Linked DNA regions of Caenorhabditis elegans. The protein of the gene in region 3 interacts with the protein of the main gene of each other region in a pairwise test. Each region holds a gene or a part of one and is shown on either strand. Other genes may lie near its edges.

Region 1 (5,938 bases), 440 kb from region 3:
TTGCTTTACAGTTTCAGCAAAAAATAAAAAAATATGCTGAAAATCTTGAAAATTATTGAAGTTATAGGGTTTTGAAATTTAAAAAACCCAGGAAATTTACTTTGTTTTCTTTTAATTTTTACATTTCTCAGATAATTTTCAAAGGACAAAATTAGGTAAAAAAAAATTAGCTAAAATCCTCAAAAACTAACAGAGTTATATGGTTTTGAAATTTTTCCAAAAAATATTAATTGATTATTTTTTCTAGTAATAATTTTTTCATAAAACAATTTTAGATTAATTAATAACAAAATGGGTCAAAAACGCATGCAATTTTAGTCAAAAAATAGCGGAAAATCTCTAAAATGAGTAATGTTATGCTGTTTTAAAATGTTGTCCAAAAAAAAAGCTTTTCAATTTACTCGAAAATTTTCACAGAACAATTTCAGATTATTACATATCAAAGTGCTCCAAATAAATTTCTACAGTTTCAATAAAAATTTAACTGAAAATCTTTAAGTAACAAAGTTCAGGGGTTTCGAGTTTTTAAAAAATGTTCTGTCACCTTTTTTTTGTTGATAATTTTAAAAAGTTTTCAATCTTGAAAATAAATTATTTCTACTTTTAGATTATTAAATATTGATAAAGTATAAATATTTTCTACATTATTTAAAGGTTTTTTTTTTAATTTTCTCCAAAAAAAAAGTTTCACAGAACAATTTTAGATTGCTATGTAGCCTATAGCAAAACCGTCCAAAAATTTGTTTTTTACCTAATTGGCTGAAAATCTTAAATTGGAAGAGAAATTAAAATTACAACATATTTTCAAAAAGAAAAAAAAACAATTTGCCCTCACTTCACTTTTTTCCTTTTTTTTTAATTCTCAAATAATTGTGTCCTTCCAAGAAACAGGAAAACTAATAAAACGTCATTCATGTTTACCCTCTATCATCTTTACCACACATTTCGTCAAAGTAAATTTTAGTTGTGAGAAAAATATTTCGATTTCGAAAAACACTACCTAGAATTGACAAAAATAACACATTTAACTAACTCCCACAAAATATAGCCCATAAAAATTCCTTTATTTTGATAGTTTAACTTTTTTTGTAGCTCTTCTCCCCACGGAGATATGCGCTTCCAAAGTTTAGACAGCGAGAGAGTGTGGGAAGAGGTGAGACGCCGACTGCACGCGCAGTCTGAGTCTCCTCTCACCCCACACTCTTTAGTCACCTTCACCTTGAAACGCTGATATCTTGGCTGGGAAAAGAGATATTTAAAAACTTTTAACTAATGAAATGTTTGAAATTTTAAGGGCTATATTTCAAATATAAAAGTTAATTGATAAAAATACTGTTATAGCTATAATACTGCTTTCAGGTCGGAATCAACTACCAACCACCAACGGTAGTCCCAGGAGGTGACCTGGCAAAGGTACCCCGTGCCGTGTGCATGCTCTCCAACACCACCGCAATCGCTGAAGCCTGGGCTCGTCTGGACCATAAATTCGACCTAATGTATGCGAAGAGAGCATTCGTCCACTGGTATGTTGGTGAAGGAATGGAGGAAGGAGAATTTAGTGAGGCTCGTGAAGATTTGGCTGCTCTTGAGAAGGATTATGAGGAAGTCGGTGTGGACAGTATGGAGGATAATGGAGAAGAAGGAGATGAGTATTAGAATATAAAAATAGATCTTGACCCCAAAAAACTCCCCGCTTTTATGATGTGAATTTCCCCAAACTTTAATTATGCTTTGTCTGCCAATTGCTATGCTTCATTTTCTTGAACTTTTACTATTTTCTTTACTACAACGATCAATAAACTTGTTCCAACGGCCTCCATCTTTCACTTTTCAAAAAACAAATACAAGCAGCTTATAGCCCTTAAAATTCCCTATATTTCGATAGTTGGAAATTCGTTCATAGCTGGTCCCTACACCGAGATATACGCGTTCAAAATTTACAGATGCTAGAGAGTGTGGGGTGAGGGGAGACGCAGTGTGCGCGCGCCGCCTGCGTCTCCCCTCCCCATACACTCTCTTGCTGGCTCTGACTTCGAAGGCGCATATCTCAGCGGGGAGAAGAGCTATTAAAAAGTTTTCAACTAACAAAATATGGGAAATTTCAAGGGCTACATTGTGAGTTAAAAAAAATTTTGCTAGCTGCTATAGTTTTTGACACAGCTGTTTTTATGGAAAAATTCATATTTTTAAGCTATAAAAACATTATCAATTCTCAGTTTTTCGGTGCATCCGGTTGATTGTTGGGATGAGCCACTTGAAACTCTGGCAGCTCCGCTAGCTTATTGGAGATTCGAGTAATTATTGGGTAGGGCGTCATGTCCACGTGGTATCTGGCAATTTTTTTTTGAACAAAAATGTGCTTTTTTAAATAATTTTTCCTTACTTTTCTATAGCATTATACACAATTGATGGAAGACAAATATCAGCGATAGAAATTTGATTTCCGACGCAAAAATCTCCAGAGTGCATTTGCAGGAGCTCTTCGAGAGCCTTGAATCCTTTGCTGATGAAGTGTTGGCACCACTGGAAAAATTCACTTTTTAAAGAATTTTTTATTGATTTCTTGAAGTTAAGAGTATAAAAGGAAAAATTAATTCAATTATCGAATTCAGTGCATTAAGAGCTTAAAAAAGTATAATTATAAAAAGTATTATAAATATATAAAAAGTATAATACACAATAGCTACCGCAACCCTGAGGGGTTTCGTGGCAAGACCCCAATATGGGTATCATCTTGAAGCTCTTGGTGAGCTGAATATAAAATTCGTATTTGAAAATCTAAAAAGTTAGGTCTCGACGAGGAAACTGCGAAGTTTTTTTTTTCAAAAAAAAAAAACAAATTTTTATATAAATTTTTTTGGAATTTTTTTTAGAAATTGCTTTAAATTTTCAGATTTTTAGGAATTTTTTTACACCTACAAATACTAACTACTCTATAAAATTTTTTTTGAACTCACAAAATCCCCATAGCCGGGCTCTTTCTCATTGAGCATCAGGTAGATCGGCTTGTTTTGCAGAGGCTGGATATTTGAGGCGATCTGAAATTTTTCTATTATAGCAAAATCGAGAAATTATTTCTGGTCTCACCGCGAAAACAAACCTACCTATTTTGTGGGGGTCTTGGTGAACTTAATTCGAATTTTAAAAATTTTAATACGAAAATAACACAGTTTAATATGTCTATAAATGCAACAAACATACATGAAAAGCAATAGCTCTCGCGCGAGCTTTGAGCTCGGGCTCTTTCGGCAAAAGTGGTGGGTCTGGGTAGATTTCATCGAGATATTCGATTATTGCCATGCTTTCTGTCAGAGTTAGACCGTTGATTTTCAGAATTGGAACTTTTTCCGCAGGATTGTTCCCATGGAATTCTTGCTGAAAATGGAAAAACTTGGAGTTAGGAGCAAAATTTAAAATTTACCTCTTTCTGTTTGTTCAGCAAGTTCACGGGTTGATATTCATAGTCGATCTTTTTCAGAGCAAGAGCTGAAAAAATTTAAAAAAATCCCATATTTTTTTTTGTCTTCTGAAGTTCAGTTACCTGCTTAGATATAGACCTCAAAAATTCCTATATTTTGTTAGTTAAAATTTTTTCGATAGCTCTTCTCCCCGCTGAGATATGCGCGTTTTAAGTTTAGGCAGCGAGAGAGTGTGGAGGGAGGGGAGACGCAGGTGGCACTAGTTGTCTGCGTCTCTCCCCCTTCCACAATGTTTCTTCACGTCAACTTTAAAGGCGCATAACTCTGCCGAGGAAAGAGGTACGAAAAAGTTGTAAACTGGCAAAATATAGCCCTTAAAATATCCAACATTTTGTTGATTGACAATTTTTGATAACTTCGCACTCTGCAGAGATATGCGCCTTTGAAAATTAGACAGCCTCTGCGTCTCCCCTCCCTCCATACTCTCTCACCTTCTTGACTTTAAAGACGCATAGTTCAACAGTAAATCAGGATTTACAGATTTTTTTTTGGAAAACTCACCAGTTCTAACTCTTGACGAACATCCTGAACTCCAAGAGGAGTACAATATAGGTTTTGCTGCCATTTTCTAAAGAAAGTCAATGTGTTTGTGACAATTTTGGAGAAAAGTGATAGTGATGAATGATAATGAATGATAAAGGTCAATAACATGTTTAGGTGAGAAATCGGTGATGTTTGGTAGCAAAACACAAGGTGTAATGATGTTTTAGGTGTAACTTTGCAATGAAGAAAGTTATCAAAAAAATTGTTGACTATTAAAATATAGCCCTTGAAATTTCCTATATTTTATTGGTTGACAACTTTTTTTTAACATTGATAGAAACAGAGATACAAAGGGCTGAAACTGCACGGGTTGTTGCCTGCGTCGCTCCCCGCCCATTCAGTACTTCTTTTTTCAAACGTTAATATCTCTGCTAGGAAAACTGTTCTAGAAAAGGTGCAAACTGAAAAAATATAGCCCTTGAAATTTCCTATATTTTATTAGTTGACAACTTTTTCTAAGTTTTTTTCCCTGCAGAGATATGTATCTTTGAAAATTTGTAGGTGAAAGAACGCGCAAATTTTTTGATGTCTAACTTGTGCCCAATTTCTTACCACAAAACATATTCTGATTATGTTCTCTGACCTGATGTTTGCTCATATCTTATTTTTTCAAATAATACTGGTTTCTAGTTGGAGGCCCCGAAACGTTAAGAAAAAAAATTTTAGGAAAAAAAAAATTGACTTTGATCATTGCCTCCTTATCAGTTTTAACGTACATTCCATAATTTCTTAACATTTTCTTATCACTAAGTGACTAAGTTTGCTCTGAGAGCACATTTTCAGCTAGCAAACCTACATTTTCTTACAATTTTCCCTCGAAATTGTAATTTCGAAACTCTTAAACGGGTAACAATCGAACAAGAATCAAAATTTTAACCAAATTTTAACAATTCAATGTAGCCCTCAAAATTTCCTATATTCTGTCAGTTAAAAACTTTTTATTTCTCTTCTCTCCGTTGAGATATCCGCCTTTAAAATTGACGCCATAAAATAGTGTAGAAGGGGGAGAGACGGAGACAGCGCGCGCTGCCTGCGTCTCCCCTCCCTCCACACTTTCTCGCTGCCTAAACTTTGAACGTGCATATCTCCGCGGGGAGAAGAGCTATCAAAAAACTTTTAACTAACAAAATATAGGAATTTTAAATGGTTATATTTTGTTAGTTGAAACTTTTTGAAAATCTCTCTTAGATTTTGAGATATTTCGGTTTCAACAAAGAATCACTGAAAATCGCTTTTGGATTTGAAATAAAGCTATTTTGGTTCAGGAAATGAAGCATTTTAGGAGAAAACCGCATGATATATTAGAGGACCACATTTTGATCTTTCAAATATTGCTTCCGGCAGATTTATACATTTTTATATATTTTTGTGGATGATTTCAGGGAGATTCAATTTTTTCCAGTTTTTGTAGATAATTTTAATTGCCCCATTCAAAAATGACTAACCAAACTTCCAAAAAACCAAAAAAAAACAAGAGACGATACGCAGAGTACACTGCGATAACATCTGCGTCGTCGTCTCTCTCCACACATTTTGAGAGACCGAGCGACGAGAGAGTGACAATTTGTGAAGAGAGTGGTGAGACGACGAGACACTATCGAATCGCCACCCCCCACACGGACGTATTATACAAGCAAAAAGCCACGTTTTGAATGGCTTAAATCGATTATAAAGTTGACAAACTGCTTGGTTTTTAGTCTTTTTCTTGAGTTTCTTATCGATTTTAAAGGAAATTTGTGGATTTTTATTGGTTTTTAAACAGAAACTAATAAATGCATTGAATTTTTCACTATTAAATGGCTGAAATTGCTGAAACAAACTTTTCCGCTCGAGACCCATACGATAAAACTGCCCCATGCTCCTTTAAATCCACAGTACCACTTTTTTCTTCTTTTTCTTTGGTTTTCTTGTTTTTT
Region 2 (5,253 bases), on a different chromosome or scaffold from region 3:
TTAGAATTTAAAAAAGAAGAAAAGGATGATTCCAACCATAATCCGACGAAGATCTTTTCATCGATGGAAACTCTCATGTGAAAAGGCACGTCGTATTCTCTGATATCAACAATTTGATTCAAGATGTCACCATTCAACTGTTGATCCTTACTATCTCCTCCTTTTCCACTCAGATTCCTCGCCAAATAGTCAGCGTACGCCGACTCTTTTTTGATGCGATCTGTGTTTTTCCGCACCAGCGGCATTAATTCCTTACGGATTTTTATCAATTCCACGGTGCTGGTGAATGAGAGTTTGATATATGTCTTCTTCAACCCAGAAAGATGATCTTTCAAATCTAAATCCTCCCGATCCATATGTTCAACTGCTGTCTGGGCTCCGTACTTCTTGGACAGATAACTGGATACTTGGAATTCAAATCCATCCAACGTGGCAATATAGAAATACGGTCGAAATGGGTAACTGATTTTGAAGCGTTCGTCCATATCACTGATGAAGAAATAGTCAACGACCGAAATAATAACTTTGGTTTGCTCGTCGACAAGCTCCGAAGGTTGGATGTTTATCAGAAATCCTTTTTTCTCCTGTAGTCCTGTGTATCTAGAGAAACCAAGCTTCGCATCAATCTCATCATTTGATCTGATCAGGGCAAGCCGCTCTTTGTAGTTTGAATCACTAAAAAAAGAAGATTTTATACTTTCTCCATTCTTGAAACAAACTTTTCGACCGCCTGTGCAAGAATGTCATCCTTGGAGCTCATTGAGCTTGCTGGCGATGACCGAACTTGTCTGAAAATACTGAAAATCAAATAACTAAAGAAAAAACTAGATAAAATGGCAAATTTAAGTTAATTTCATGGGAAATCGAGTTTAAAATGCAAGATTTCGCGCGCTCGGCCAGAGGACGAGTTGGGTGGAATTCTAGGCCACCAGATCATAAAATGGAGGGAAGGAGCAGAATTTGAATTTTAAAGCAATACAATTGAATTTCCGAGAGGCACCACGGAGGCACCACGTTTTCAAGATTTGTTCAAAAACAAGATCTACGAAAACAAGATCCACCAAAACAAAATCTACCTTTTCAAGATCTACCAAAACAAGATCTACGTTTTCAGGATCTGGCACCGTGCCAACTGCGGTTTTCTCTACGCGTGCGTACGCGTGTTGCGTAAATTCTAGAAGAAAATTTCAAAAAATATTCGTTTGAACGCTAAACAACACGCGAACGTAACATCGGAGCATCGTTGTTTCGTTTTCTTCGAGAAAACCGCAGTTGGCACGGTGCCAGATCCTGAAAACGTAGATCTTGTTTTGGTGGATCTTGTTTTCGTAGATCTTGTTTTTGAACAGATCTTGAAAACGTGGTGCCTCGCACCACGGTATCAAGATCTGGTAAAATTCCGGATCTCCGTTTTCCGGATCTACCATTTCCGGATCTACGTTTTCCGGATCTGGCCAACTCTTAAAACGCTATTTTTCTCGGAGAAAAACGTGACAACGATGCTCCGTTGTTAAGCGTCGCGTGTTGTTAAGCGTTTCTTCTAGAAGAAATTTTCAAAAAACAACGTGCGTCGAGTGAATAAAAAAGCGTTTTGTGGGTTGGCACGGTGCTAGATTCGGAAAACGTAGATCCGGAAATCGTATTTCCGGAAAACGTAGATCCGGAATTTCACCAGATCTTGAAACCGTGGTGCCTCATTTCCGACAATATTATTTAGCTGACATTAGACAATTATTAAATTCAAATAAATATTTTTATTCTGTTAAAAATTACAACAATCATCTTACAAATACATATTTTTCACAATCTAAACAACTTCAGTATCCTTGACTCCATATTTCTTCAGTTTCTCGTATGCTTTCTTATGAATAACCGCGTCATCAGAAGTCACAACTGGCATTTTGAATGATTGTTTGAATGCATCAAGTGCTTCGGCTTTTTGTCCTAGTTGTTCGTACACTTCGCCAATGTAGTAGGTATTCGTACTGTAGAATCCGGGCTGAAAATTTGAATTTAACTATAATGATCTGAATTTTTCGTGGCACTATTTACTTCCCAAGTGGAGGAAAATGTTCAAAGTGTAAAAAAATTTGGTCGACAACTTTTCATTTTTGTATGTTTTTGATTGACTATGAGAGATTCACTAAAAGTGTTTGAATTCTGATATTTTTTTACCGAAATCTGTTCAGCCTTTAGGAAATAGTGTAGAGCCTCCTGATATGTGGATGCTGGTGGAGTTGCGAAAATAGCTTTGGCCACCATTCGAGTCGCGTAACCCATATTGGCGAAGGAAAAGTGCCAGACTCCTGAAATTTGAGGTTTTCTTTTTAATTCTCGAAGCGAAATGCAGAAATATCTAAAAAAAATAATGGTTAAGCACCGCCCGCCCCCGTTGATTGAACGGTGAGCTGTAGAGCTTTAATTCGGAATAAACACGGGGTGTCAGAAAGTCTCATTGCGGTTTGATCTACAAAAAATGCGGGAATTTTTTCCCAGAAAATTTGTGACGTAAGCACACTGTTAACCATGCGAAATCAGTTGAGATGTCTACGTCTCACCTCCCGCATGTTTCGTAGATCAAAGCGAAAAGGGACCGTCTGACTCCACGTGAATAAATTCTAACATGATTTTTCTTTTTTTTTCTCTGTTCAATCCGGAATCCCTTACCCAAAATATGCCACGTTGTTGGATCGTTCTCGAAAATCGATAACGCCTTCTCTAAATGTTTCCGCACTTGGAATGATTTTTCGATTCTCGATTTGTTTCCCTCGATCTCTCCAACGTAATCCAGTAGAATGGCATACCTAAAGATAGCCATGTGGCATAGAAAATGCTAAAACTCAGCCGCCAAAAAAGGCAGGTGCTCAGTTTTCGATTTCCACCCTCAGTCATAGTTTTTTTTTCTCGCAAAATTGTGTTGTTCTACCCGGAATAAATAGCGTTTTAACTCCAAATCGTACCATTTATGTGCTCCAAAGCATCCATTCTTTGGCTCATTGTCAAGAGCTTTTTTCACAATTCCATAGGCTTCCAAAATGAGCTCTTTTCGTTGATTTTGATCTTTTGAGAGTTTTCCTTTCTCACAAACCACACGTGCCAGACGCCATAGAAGCTCGGAGCAATTGGAATTTTCAAATCTTAAAAATTGGAAAGAAAAGTTAAAATGGACATTTCTAAAAGTTAATTGAAAATTCACTTTTTCAAAATATTATAACAATTATCGATTAGATAATTATCATAAAGTTCATCCGAATTTCGAACAATTAAATCGAAATTTTTCGGTTTTCCATCAATTAATTGTCCATTTCCTGAGTCCAAATTCTTGTTCTCTTCAGTTTTTCCAAAAAATGCGATTCCAAGCGAGGTTCCACCAGTGATTGCAATTAATTTCGGAAGTTTTGGAGAAGATGTCGGGCGGCGAGAGAAATTCGAAATAAAACGGAGATTGAATACTCGTTTGAACATTTTTTTTCTTCAGAGGCTGCAAAAATTAGACAATTTTAAATAAATTATAAATATTGAAACAAAAATATATTATTAATTTCGATGGCCTTTTTCCAAGTACATAGGTAATTTTTCAAAAAACTCATACTCAAAGACGCATTCACTGAATTATTCCAACCCCCTAATTCCGAATATCTTTAAATTTTTTAAACTAAAAAAGCCTTAAATTTATCGTTTTTTTTTTCGAAAATTCGGATTTTCATCGAGTTGTGATTTGGATATAATAAAATGTTCAATTGACACGGAAAAAACAATTTTCCAAATAATAACCAAAAAAAAAGTTTTTGAAAAAACATGACAGATGGTGAAAAATCCCGTAAATCGACACAGCACGGTGCGCCCCAATGAGACTGCCTCTGGCGCGTTAAGTTTTGGGTGCGAGATTTCAAGCTGAAATATTAAATCCGAGAAGTTTTTTTTTAATTTCACAAAGATATTCGGAAAGAGTCATACGCCAAAACCTTTTTCGAACAAAATGAAAATTTGAAAATTAATTTTGAACACTCGAAAGGGAAAAATTTTGCGTTCAAACTGGTTCCAGGCAAGTTTTAGAAAAATTCTCGTAGGCTACTGAGAACGCTATAATGTTGTCAGCATTTCACAGTTCAAAGTACAAGTGGTGTAAAGGTAAACACTGATAAGTGATAATGAGAGAAGAGAGAAAAAGTTCGGCCAAGCTTTATGAAAATCGATTTGAAAAAAGGGGTAAAAACAATGCATTAGGGAGATTCTAACTTTTAAAAAAGACGTCTAAAAATTGTTTAAGAAAATGAGGAAAAATCATAAATTTTACACGTAAAAAAGATAAGGGGCGGGGGTTTTAATCGAAAAAAAAAAGTTAGAAAAAGTTTAATTCATTCACAAAAATTCTCTTTTTTTGCTTTCTCAACAGCGTGTCGACGCTGGATGAATTCGCGAAAATTCGCATTAAATTCTTTAAAACTCGGATAGCTTTTCAGTTGAGCACGAATCCATTTTGAGACACGAGCAGACGAGGCTCCGCCCACAAGATTTCCAGTTTGACGTTCTAGGCGTTCATCGATCATTAGCATTGCTCCCCAGTCGTTTTTGTGCCGGAGACATCTGAAGATTTAATGAATTTTAGATTGTAGTGAAATTTGGCCAGATGGTTTTTCTACTGATTCCCTTATTTCACGTGATATTATAGATTTGATATTACGGGAACACTAAATCCTGAGAATGCGTATTTTACAACATATTTGACTCGCAAAATATCTCGCAGCGAAAATTACAGTATTTCTTTAAAAGTAGCGCTTATGCCGATTTACGGGCTCGATTTTATTTTCGAATTTGGACAGTGATATTCAATTTTCCTTCGTTGTTCGTATTGTTTAGTCATTTTTGTACTTAAAAAAATTTTATTCATTAACCAACTGTTTTAATAGAAAAAAACGTGTAATATTGCCTTCATTTTGATGAGGAAACTCCTATTTACAAACGTATTTTTACATTATTTCCCGTCTATTGCAGGTTTTCCAGGTGAAACCCGGCAATAGACGGAAAATAATGTAAAAATACGATTGTATGAGTTTCCTATAAGGCAATATTGGACGTTTTTCATTTAAATATTTTTTTTTAACACAAAAATGACAAAACAATACAGAAAAAAAAAGACAAATTAAATACTGCTGTCAAAATTCGATTAGGAAATTCGAAAATCGAGCCCGTAAATCGACACAAGCACTACGGTAGTCATTTAAAGGATTACTGTAGTCTTCGCTACGAGAT
Region 3 (9,595 bases):
TCTTTGTGAGAAAGGACGACATTTTTTATTCAACAAGTGTTGTGAGTTGGGAAATTGATTTTAAAGATCCCTTGCCAGAATTACAGTATCTAATATACAGTTATCTAAAATTTTGAGGTCAGCGCGGCAATTGCAAGTAACATAAATTTTCTACAATTTTGGAAATTGCCAAAATTGCATAAAAAATATATTTTCTTAAAAAATGCCCACAGCACAAAAAATTTAAACTTTGTAAGGGAGGTTTGAAAATTTTATCTTGAAACTAGTAATATAAGATTAAACCTTTTAAATTTCAAAGTATATTTAAGTTTTTTGAACTTGCGAACGTTAAAATGTCTCAAAATTGATTTTAGGAGGTGCCTTACTAAATTAAAATAGTAAAAAAATTATTCAAAGTTTCATTAATTTTTAAAAAACTATACAACATTTCCGGTCATCTTTCCATTTTTTTCCAGCAACATTTATCCTTAAAGATCCCAAAAAAATATTTTTCACAGGTAAAATTTCCGGGTTATCACTTCCCAATGCTCAACCAACAACCTGCTCTGTCAGATACAAAAGCTTTCAAAAGAGAAGATTAAAGTTGGGGAGGGCAAACGTCACAGATCAGAATTGTATTGGGTGGTAGATTAAGTGTATAGGTGCAGACGTTGTAATGCTATTATAAAGATCAGACATAGAATAGGTTTAAGGTACAAAAAGTGTAATGAAGGGATTATTCCCGTAACATTATTTCAGAGTATACAATTTTGCAACAAAATGTTTTCTAGGAATCCTCTCAAAGTGCCCGTAAAACGTCGGCTGCAACAAAAAACCCCCGCGATTTCAAAAATTTCATTCATTTTCCTGTCATTTGCGTAAAAAGCCGACAAACTTTAGGTAACCTTTCCCTGGCATTTCAACAAATATTATCAGCTGTCGTGAAAATTTCAGTGATCTTCTGCAGCTATAATTAATTCAATAGGTGATTTAGTATTCTTACCACATTTCTTTTTCACCTTAAAATAATTTCCAATTATCTTTGAACTAAAATTTATACTAGAAACTTGTGTTCAAAGTTGACGCTTTTGGCCAACCCGTGACGTCACACAGAACAGTTTGAGGCGAACCCTAACATTTTGAAAACTTTAATATTAAAAGGAAATAATGTCCCGATTGTTCTTGCACGGACGTTTCGCGGGTTCCGCGGTTCAACCAAGTTCAGCACAGTCCAGAACAGAAACTTTGCGCGTAAATTATGATACAGTAGGTCAATGCCCCTTAAAACGTGTGACGTCACACACTTCTATTTGAGGGGACACATGCCTTCTTCACTTCGAAAAACCTTCAAATTTCAGGGAAGAAGTGCCCAGACTTTGCTCATCCGGAGCCCATCATTGACGACCGTGGATTCAGCCGCTGCGAGCTGAAAACCGATCTGAAAACCGCGTTCCAGTACATGAGACGTAACAAACGACAAATGCGAAATAATTTTTGTTAAGCTTCAGACCTTTTTCTCCAGGAATTGCTCTCTAAACTTCAGTATACCCCTTCCCCACAGTATTCTTGTCCCTCTCTCTCCGGTGCTTTGTAATAAAATGAAACAATGTAAAAATATATAATTTATGGTTTTCTTTTTCTATACAATAATTTCAAGAAATATCAGTTAAAATAAATAAACTCTGAAAATTGAAACAAAACAAAATTGATATTCGGGGATTGGAATTCACACAAAAACTAGAGGCTTTTCATAAAATAAAAACCGAATGGGGGGACAAATTCTGAGAGATTTGAGGTTCAAGGAGCAAAAATTGTTGGGAAAGTACCGGTAACAAGTTATTTGAAATTTTTCTGGAAGTGATTTTTTGTTTGAGACAGTAGTGGGGAAACAAAATAAATTAGAAATCTTTGCGATATGCAATTCAATGGGGCTAGCGATTTTGAAAAATATATTAATTTTAAATTTTTAAAATTTTAAACATTTAAAAAATTTTAAAAGGCAGCCGGGCCCATTTGGAAGTTAAAAAGTGAACTTCCAGATGGGGCAACTGGGCTTCCACAAGCTGGCGGTGCATCCGTAGATCGTAATGGAGCACGTGTAAGATTGATAAGGAACATGAACTCTTCTGGAAGCTGGTGTGATGGATAGAGAATGTCCAGGGCCTGGAGTCCAAGAGCATGGAATACATCGAATTCTTGGGTCTGAAAATTGAATAGTTAGTGTTATACTAGACATCCTACTTGCATGTCAGTCTGGAATACTTGCTCTCAGTGCAACCCTCAATAAAAAATAAAAATTTTGCTTCCTGGCAGACATGGATTAGCATTAGAAGCGTGCAAATTTTGCCCTCAAAGCGTGTTACAAGGCTTCCCCGCTAGATTCTACGTCACACGTTGAAAATGACAAACTTACCAATCTAACGATCTTGGCCAATTTGTTCTGAGATCCGCTGCAATGATCCTTGAGAGCATTGATGATGGTACTTTGAACCTGGTCGACGAGAGGTTTGTTGGTCAATCCAAGTACGTTATGTTCTGAAAAAATTTTGAAATTATGAAATGAGGAGTAGATAAACTTTGCTGAAGCTTTTTAGGGTTTAAATTCTACACACCTGTGTTTCCAGCCAAAAATTGAAGAGCAATAAAGGCGGCGAATGCCTGAGGCTCCCAGTCAACCAATGAGCTGAAGGTTCGTGCTTTGTCAACCATGAATCGAATGATTTGTTGGAAGCAGGCAGGGAACGCGTTCAACGAGAAAAGCTCTCCAGACTCGAACATAATTGTGTCGGTGCTGTTGCCACATCGGTTTGCCACGCGGATTGCCATGATTGCGAAGAAAGATCTGCTGAGGAGGATCTGGAAGTCGGCTGGCTGAATCTCGGAAATTTGTGGCATTGCCATGAGAAGCTTCTTGGTGGCATGAAGCTCTCCGTGCAGGATTCTCAGTGCGATAGTCTCATCGAATGGTTGCATCTAAATGATAAACATTTTCCAAAAGAAATGCTAAATTTCCGACTTACAAATTGCCGGACAACAGTCATATTTGTATGATCTTCAATTGCTTTTCCCATCAAAGCTAGAAGAGGAAGCGGTGGAGATGGTTGATCCTCTGATCTTGCCAACTTCGTCTTTGACGACAAACGTCCACGTCTCCCCGATAGAGAACCATGTCGAACAACTGAAATATCACAAATAATGAACATTTCCCAAAGGGTACACCTACTTTCTTTGACCATGCCGACTTCCAAACACTTTTGATAGCGACAGTACTGGCACCGACTACGGTATCGCTTGTCGATTGGGCAGGTCTTGTTACCAGCGCAAGTGTATTTGGAGTTCTTCTGCACAGTTCGCTTGAAGAATCCTTTGCATCCTTCGCAAGTTCTGGCTCCATAGTGCAGGCAAACAGCTCGATCATTGCACACAGCGCACATTTTGTCAGCGTCAAGAGCTGTTTCCGATGGGACACCGAATGAGGTTGGTGTGGAGAGGTTGTCGGGGTTGAGGAAGGATCTGAAAGTTTTCTTTTTTTTTTAATTTCAAATTTAAAATATCAAATTTCAAATTTCAAAAACGAACCTTAAGAAGCCTTGCAACTGCGGGGGTGACGTTGGCAGAGAGCTTGAATGAGGCGATGGTGTTCCGCCGGTATTGTTCGACGAGCTCGTTGTCCCCTGACTTCCACGCCTGGAATCCGATACCGGAAAGTGTTGAGGATAGAATGGAGATGTGAATGAAGGCATCAAGGGATTCGGCATGAAATCATTCGAAAGTCTGTAAGAAGAAACAATAGAAATCCTCTCGTGGAAGCACCAGCTTATGCTCTCAATGGAGGTTAATCCTCGGCTCGATGTACTACGTAGAAAACACGAAGCAAAAGTAATTCACACGTGGTTATCTGTGACGACACTTACGCGAATGGATTGTAATGCGGTGCGGCGGTTGCCAGGAAAAGATCGTTGTGTGGCATTTGAAATGCTTGCATAGTTGGGTCAAGTTCACTTTTGATATGGGTGATTGAGGCGTTCATTTCGGATGGTAAACGGTGACTGGAGGAGGATGGTTTCTGAAATTATTAAAAGTTTATAATTGTGTGCAGAATGAAGCTCTTACCTGCTCGAATTCTTCGGGGATACTCTCGACTTCGGTTTTCGTGGGCTTTGGTACAGTGTTCACCTGATCGCTTGTCTCCTGCAAACTTTCAATTTCAGACTTTATAAAGCCCATAAGTCCGCTAAGATCATCTCCGAGCCTGACCACAGGCTTGTCAATTTTGCTAGCTGTCCGTTTGCTCATCATAACTGTAGGGTGCAGGGGGGAAGTAAGTATGAATATATGAAAAGTGCGCTTCTATCAAACAGCTGATTAGGCGGCTGCCCAGGAAAATTTCAAGGGGCGGAGTCCAGAGCCCTGAGCATTAGCTGCGACAAAAGAGCATACACGAGGAATTATGTCAGTCCACGCCCCGAGACCACCTAAGAGTGATGACGACGTCGCTGACAGAAGCCAAAAAAGAATGAGAGGTGACACTTTGAGGATATAATAGAAACAGGTTTCCCAGAGAGACCATCAAATCAAAATCGAAAGTAAAGAGTTTTCGAGATGGATGAAAGGAAGAAGAAAGACGACAAATTGCGGGGTGTTTCATGCCAAATTTTGGTGTGGACACAGAGGACTGAAGGGGGAGCCAAATGGCACGTGTATCTATCAATTAGCCGGATGATAGTGGGTGTATGTGTTTGAGCAAAACTGAAGGTTAAGCCAGCATTTAAATATTTTTCGGGTTTTCGGACTGTTTATGTGAGGAAGTTAAGAGTTTTTTTGGAGCAGAAAACAAGAAAAGAGCTATGAGAGCTAAACTTTTTGTACTCTTCTCTGGTCTAAAATGACGCAGAGCCTGTGGGCTGAAAATATTTGTTGTAGTCCTCGAAAAATTACCGCCTACATGGCTAAGCAAACTAGAAATAAAGAAATTATCTCGAGAGCTCCAAAAACGTTCTAAAGCCTTAAAAATGCAGGGCGATTTTATTGAGAAATGCTAAAAATGGGTCAAAAATATCAAAAATCATACTTGTTGAAAAGGCCATTTTCGAGCATTTTTTCCAATGGTTCAAGTGGGCAAAATCTGATTTTCAGATAAATCAATATGCATATATTCCTGATTTTGACAGTAATTTTCAATGAAAAGTTGGGTCTAAATTCAGAAACTCGGAGCCATTTTTGTGGGGGGCTACTCTAGTTTTTTTTTTGGGATTTTTGATACATTTTTTTACATTTCTAGACTCTCATAAATTTTGAGCAGTGGGAAAAATTAGAATTTTTTTAAAAAGTTTCTAGAATTCAAATTTTTTAGAGGTTGAAACATTGATTTTGAGTGAAAAAAAATAGTCGACTTCCAAAAACTTCTAAACAACTTGCCAAATTTTCTAAAATGGTCTACTTTTTACAGTAGCCAAAAAAGAAAGCAGCAACATCAAAAGAAACACTACTAATAAATGAATGACATTTTGGTACAAGTGACTTGTTAGCATTAGGGGTCCCACCCCTGCTGCTACTGTCTCTATGACTAATGGCAAATACCATTGCGCCAACACCCAAAAAAAAAGAAAGAGAAAGACTACTACTAGTTGGGTGGAAAAGTTGTAGAATGAATTTGAAACGAGAAATATTTCTCTCCAACCAACACCACTCGTGGCTCTCTCTACAAGTGATCTCACCTATCCAATTATCTTTCTAATAAGCGGGCACGAAATGTGTTGGGAAAGTGCAGGGTGATTCGACAGGAAACAATGACTGTGTTGAGAGGGGATGCCAAGTTTGAAATGAAGTGGGAAACGAGGAGTCGGGTGATATTATTCACATGTTCCCACTCACACCTTTTTTTACCGCCGGAAAAAAGTTCAAAAAAATTATAGCTCAGAAAAGGATTATACCAATTTTCTCCCACAGATTTGAAAAAAAAGGTTTCATGGGAATCTTAAAAAAGTTCTTGGAAAAAGAGCTCACCACAAGAGAATGGAAAAGGCTGTCGAGGTCGGCATCGGTGGTTTTGGAGCCTTTGCGAGACGAGGAAGATGGTCCAAACTCTCCTGAAACCAATAATTAGGAAGAAATGGAAATTTTGTGAATTACCGTAGTCGAATGATGAGGAGCACGAAGAGTTTTTCGACATCTCGCGGAAGAAGTCCCTTCGCAGAGGTTCTTCGTTACGCACGAGGCGTGTGTAGATTTCGATCTTAAAAAATAAAATTTAAATTAAAGTTTTTGCCAGATTTTGTAATATCTCATTTTCCGTTGTTTCTGGGCACATGATTTTTGAGTTTTCTGTTTTTTTGGGATTGTGCAATTTTTGTATTTTTTTTTCTATAATTCTTAAGCCCAAGCCTAATCCTAAGCCGAATCCTAAGCATAAGCCCAATCTTGTTTAGGCTTCCAGAAGATGAGAATAAGAATACTTACTTCGTCCTCCACGCTGGAGCAGGATGAGTAGCTACTATCGACAGAAGCTGGCGAGCAGTTGGAAAACTGAAAATTTACCACATATAGAATTTACCACATATCTTTTCCACCGAACTTTAACAGTTTTTCTGGTACACCTGCCAGTTCGCCTACTCAAAAAAAAAAAGAAATAGGTTAGGGTACCTGATCTTGCAACTCGTCCGTTTGAATACTAAGTTGTTCCATTCAGTCGGACAGACCGCGCATCCGATTAATGAGCGGTCGATATAAGGAGTTGTAAGATTTGAATGAAGAAAGATGAAGAAGAAGTGAGAGAAGAGCTCTAGTAGTGGTCAATCTGAAAATGTTCAGAATTTTAACGAATTTTCAGATTGGGTGAGTGGGAGAGAGAGAGAGACGATCGGGAATTATATAGTGTCAAACAATTGAGAAGGCGGAGTAGCAGCTCGTGGCGCGTCATCAGAAGCACCTAAAAATGCACATGTGCAGGTGATTTGACACTGTGACAACTGATCGAGCAGCAACACTAAAAAAGTCAACAACATGTGTTCTTGCCCGTCTTGAATGGAATATTCACCTGCCCGCGCCTTGATTATCTACGTAATTTCAGGAAAGGAATTTTGACGACACCACCGGGCCGGCTAAAATTAGAAGTGGTCACTCTAAAAGCAGAATCAGCCTTTTTTTCATTGTTTCCAATTCTGTGAGCTCAGAGTTTAGCGATCGAATCGCTTCGATATACTATGTAGGTCAGCTCTCAAAATCAATGAGGAGATCCCAATGTACAGGTGAGTGGTTACTGTAACAGTTAACTTCTATGCCTGCTGCCGTGCCTACAACTGACCTACGGCTACTGTTATCTGCATTAGGGGAGTTGAAGGCACGCAGGTAGGCATAGGTACTTGCAAACCCATCAGTTAGCATCTATGTCTAGAGCTAATTAATCTCTGAGCTAGTTTGTGACTTCATCACAGGTGCAAGATATTTTGTACGTAGACAATTTAAATCCAAAAATGCATGCAGAGTGGGAAGTGTGAAAAGGTCGGAAAATTGCGTCAGCTGCTGCTCTAGACAATGGAAAAAAAGGAAAAAATAGAAAGTATGTGCACCGGTGAAATTATTTAGTCATTTCAAGGGCATTTTCATGATAAGGAGAGTTGTTCGGTAAATTGGGTGCTACGCAAAAACTAATGCAAAAGTGAAAAATATTTTTTGCATAAATGATCTACAGAAAAATTATCTTTCCGGAACAGTCGGAACAATAAATTTCTACGACTAAATGAGCATTATTATATACCAGAAACCGTAAAGGGAACTTATGATATCACTTCCTCCCGCCCATCTCACGACACATCATAACTGATCTGAACAATGGATCATTTTCCGAAAAACATACAAACCTCCGGGGGGATGTTCTAATTGGTTTGTCTATCTAGTTCTAGCTCCTGTGAGTAACAAGGCGTATCAGAAAACATATTTGGAAAAATATGCTAAATAGTAGGAAGGAAGCTGTAAATTACAAGAAAAACGTACATGTTGAGAAAAAATTTTGCGGTTTGTGGGAGCATTAGGAAATCTTTCGCAATGCACTGTTGCATAAGACTGTAGATAAAATTTGAGTTAGGAAATTTTTTTCGAGGAATCGGTTTTTGAGAGAAATGAGGGGCGTTAATTCTAAAAAATGTCCTATTGCACCAGGTGCAATGAGACCAAAATATTTTGATTTGATTATTTGATTAATTTGAAAATAGCATTTATTTGAGCTAAAACATTTGAATAAATGCTCAAAATAGCCTAGAAGTTGTCAATTGCTAGACAATTCGATAATGGATGAATGGCAATTTCCAGGTTATTTTTGAGAATTTTCTAATATGTTTCAGCTAAAATATTTGTTATTTTCGAATAATCAGGTACATCATTTTCTATAGTTTACACTAATTTTAAACGAAAAAAGTTAGATGGGGCAATTTTGTAGACCTATCCTTTGCTCTCATACTTTTTGGAAGCAGGCTCGCTAACCCCCAAATGTATTATAAAATTAGAAATTTTTCGCCAAGAAGGTCAAGAAAAACTGACTCAAAATCTGAAAACCTCCGCTTTAAAACGGTTTTCGTCCCATTTCCCCACCCCTTTTACCTACGAAACAAATAAAATAAAGTGACGTGATGAAGTGCTTGTAAAAAGCAAGAAACCACTGATAAACGCTTGTACGGAGACGAATGATAACACGATCAAAGACACACAATGCACCGGGAGTCTGTAGATAGTTTACTCCAAAGCGTGAAGCTCTATCAGAGATCAAAGCCACTAGGTTCGAGAGACGGCGAAGGCGACGGTGCATGTGTCTCATAAGTGAGTAATAGCTCAGAACTAAGTCATTGTTCCAGCTCTAGTGACTAATTTTGATACTGTCCAGCACTCTGACGTAAACATCGCCCACACTCGGTGACGAAGTGCTTCTTATCAATGAAACTGAAGTATGTAGGAATCTACAGGAAACAGTTGACCCCCCCAATTCATATGTCATTGTGTAGTTTGAACTGGACTGTGGAAGGTGAGTTGAACGTTTTGATCTATTGATAAGAGATGAGTTATAGTTATAGACCTCCTGGGTGCAGCAAGTAGTCAACAACTTGTAAATCTTGGTTTGATCTACGAGAATTGTGGGAATCTCTAGAGTGTCACTTTTTTTTTTGAGAGAAAACACCGCATTTTTTGTAGATCAAACCGTAATGAGACAGCCTGACATCACGTGGTAAATTAGCTGCTAACTCGAATTAGAATTTAAAAATCAAAAAGAAGCATGCTAAATGAACGCACATCAGTGTTCCATGAATTACCGCAGGGCCCTATAGACTAGTAAAAACTATTTGTTAGATTATTTTCAGAATGCTAGGTCAAAACTTGGCCACACTGAAAGTGCGGCACTTTCGTGAAATTCCCTCCTATTTGGGCTTTCGTAAGGGGATTAAAACATCTAAAGAATTACACTACTAGTCTGCCTTTAATTTTAGCTGAGAAATCTATAACTTTAGTTTATACCTAGAATTTGGCACAAAACACACCTCAACTGAATGCATTCATCGAGACTGTTTCAAAACTACGTTTCATGACATCAAATGATCTTCCGAATTCGGAAACAATTACAATACTACTG

What was found. Proteins that work in one complex are often made in the same cells at the same time.
Region 1: the proteins of nhr-6 (region 3) and Y53G8B.1 interact in a two-hybrid assay, tested with the Caenorhabditis elegans proteins (one large-scale study listed by BioGRID).
Region 2: the proteins of nhr-6 (region 3) and F33H2.6 interact in a two-hybrid assay, tested with the Caenorhabditis elegans proteins (one large-scale study listed by BioGRID).

What each region holds. Positions count from the first base shown.
Region 1 is NC_003281.10:3,127,451-3,133,388, reverse strand, and holds Y53G8B.1 (maleylacetoacetate isomerase), read right to left. Parts: upstream 4,113-5,938; 5' UTR 4,045-4,112; coding exon 3,981-4,044; intron 3,487-3,980; coding exon 3,422-3,486; intron 3,376-3,421; coding exon 3,202-3,375; intron 3,039-3,201; coding exon 2,958-3,038; intron 2,524-2,957; coding exon 2,384-2,523; intron 2,331-2,383; coding exon 2,213-2,330; 3' UTR 1,740-2,212; downstream 1-1,739. Other genes in the region: mec-12 (Detyrosinated tubulin alpha-3 chain), read left to right, coding at 1,360-1,656.
Region 2 is NC_003279.8:15,013,115-15,018,367, forward strand, and holds F33H2.6 (Regulator of microtubule dynamics protein 1), read right to left. Parts: upstream 3,482-5,253; 5' UTR 3,466-3,481; coding exon 3,197-3,465; intron 3,138-3,196; coding exon 2,961-3,137; intron 2,805-2,960; coding exon 2,668-2,804; intron 2,307-2,667; coding exon 2,176-2,306; intron 2,000-2,175; coding exon 1,808-1,999; 3' UTR 1,740-1,807; downstream 1-1,739. Other genes in the region: pole-1 (DNA polymerase epsilon catalytic subunit), read right to left, coding at 37-675, 720-760; dog-1 (Helicase ATP-binding domain-containing protein), read right to left, coding at 4,359-4,587.
Region 3 is NC_003281.10:3,570,767-3,580,361, reverse strand, and holds nhr-6 (Nuclear hormone receptor family member nhr-6), read right to left. Parts: upstream 6,782-9,595; 5' UTR 6,664-6,781; coding exon 6,622-6,663; intron 6,512-6,621; exon of another isoform or gene 6,505-6,511; coding exon 6,439-6,504; intron 6,215-6,438; coding exon 6,112-6,214; intron 6,069-6,111; coding exon 5,986-6,068; intron 4,171-5,985; coding exon 4,093-4,170; intron 4,046-4,092; coding exon 3,894-4,045; intron 3,754-3,893; coding exon 3,559-3,753; intron 3,493-3,558; coding exon 3,203-3,492; intron 3,158-3,202; coding exon 3,000-3,157; intron 2,953-2,999; coding exon 2,592-2,952; intron 2,515-2,591; coding exon 2,393-2,514; intron 2,182-2,392; coding exon 1,972-2,181; 3' UTR 1,591-1,971; downstream 1-1,590. Other genes in the region: C48D5.3 (TIL domain-containing protein), read left to right, coding at 1-41, 1,338-1,480. UniProt on the Caenorhabditis elegans protein: Transcriptional activator that induces gene expression by binding to the NGFI-B response element (NBRE) 5'-AAAGGTCA-3'. Required for proper morphogenesis of the spermatheca and the spermatheca-uterine valve formation.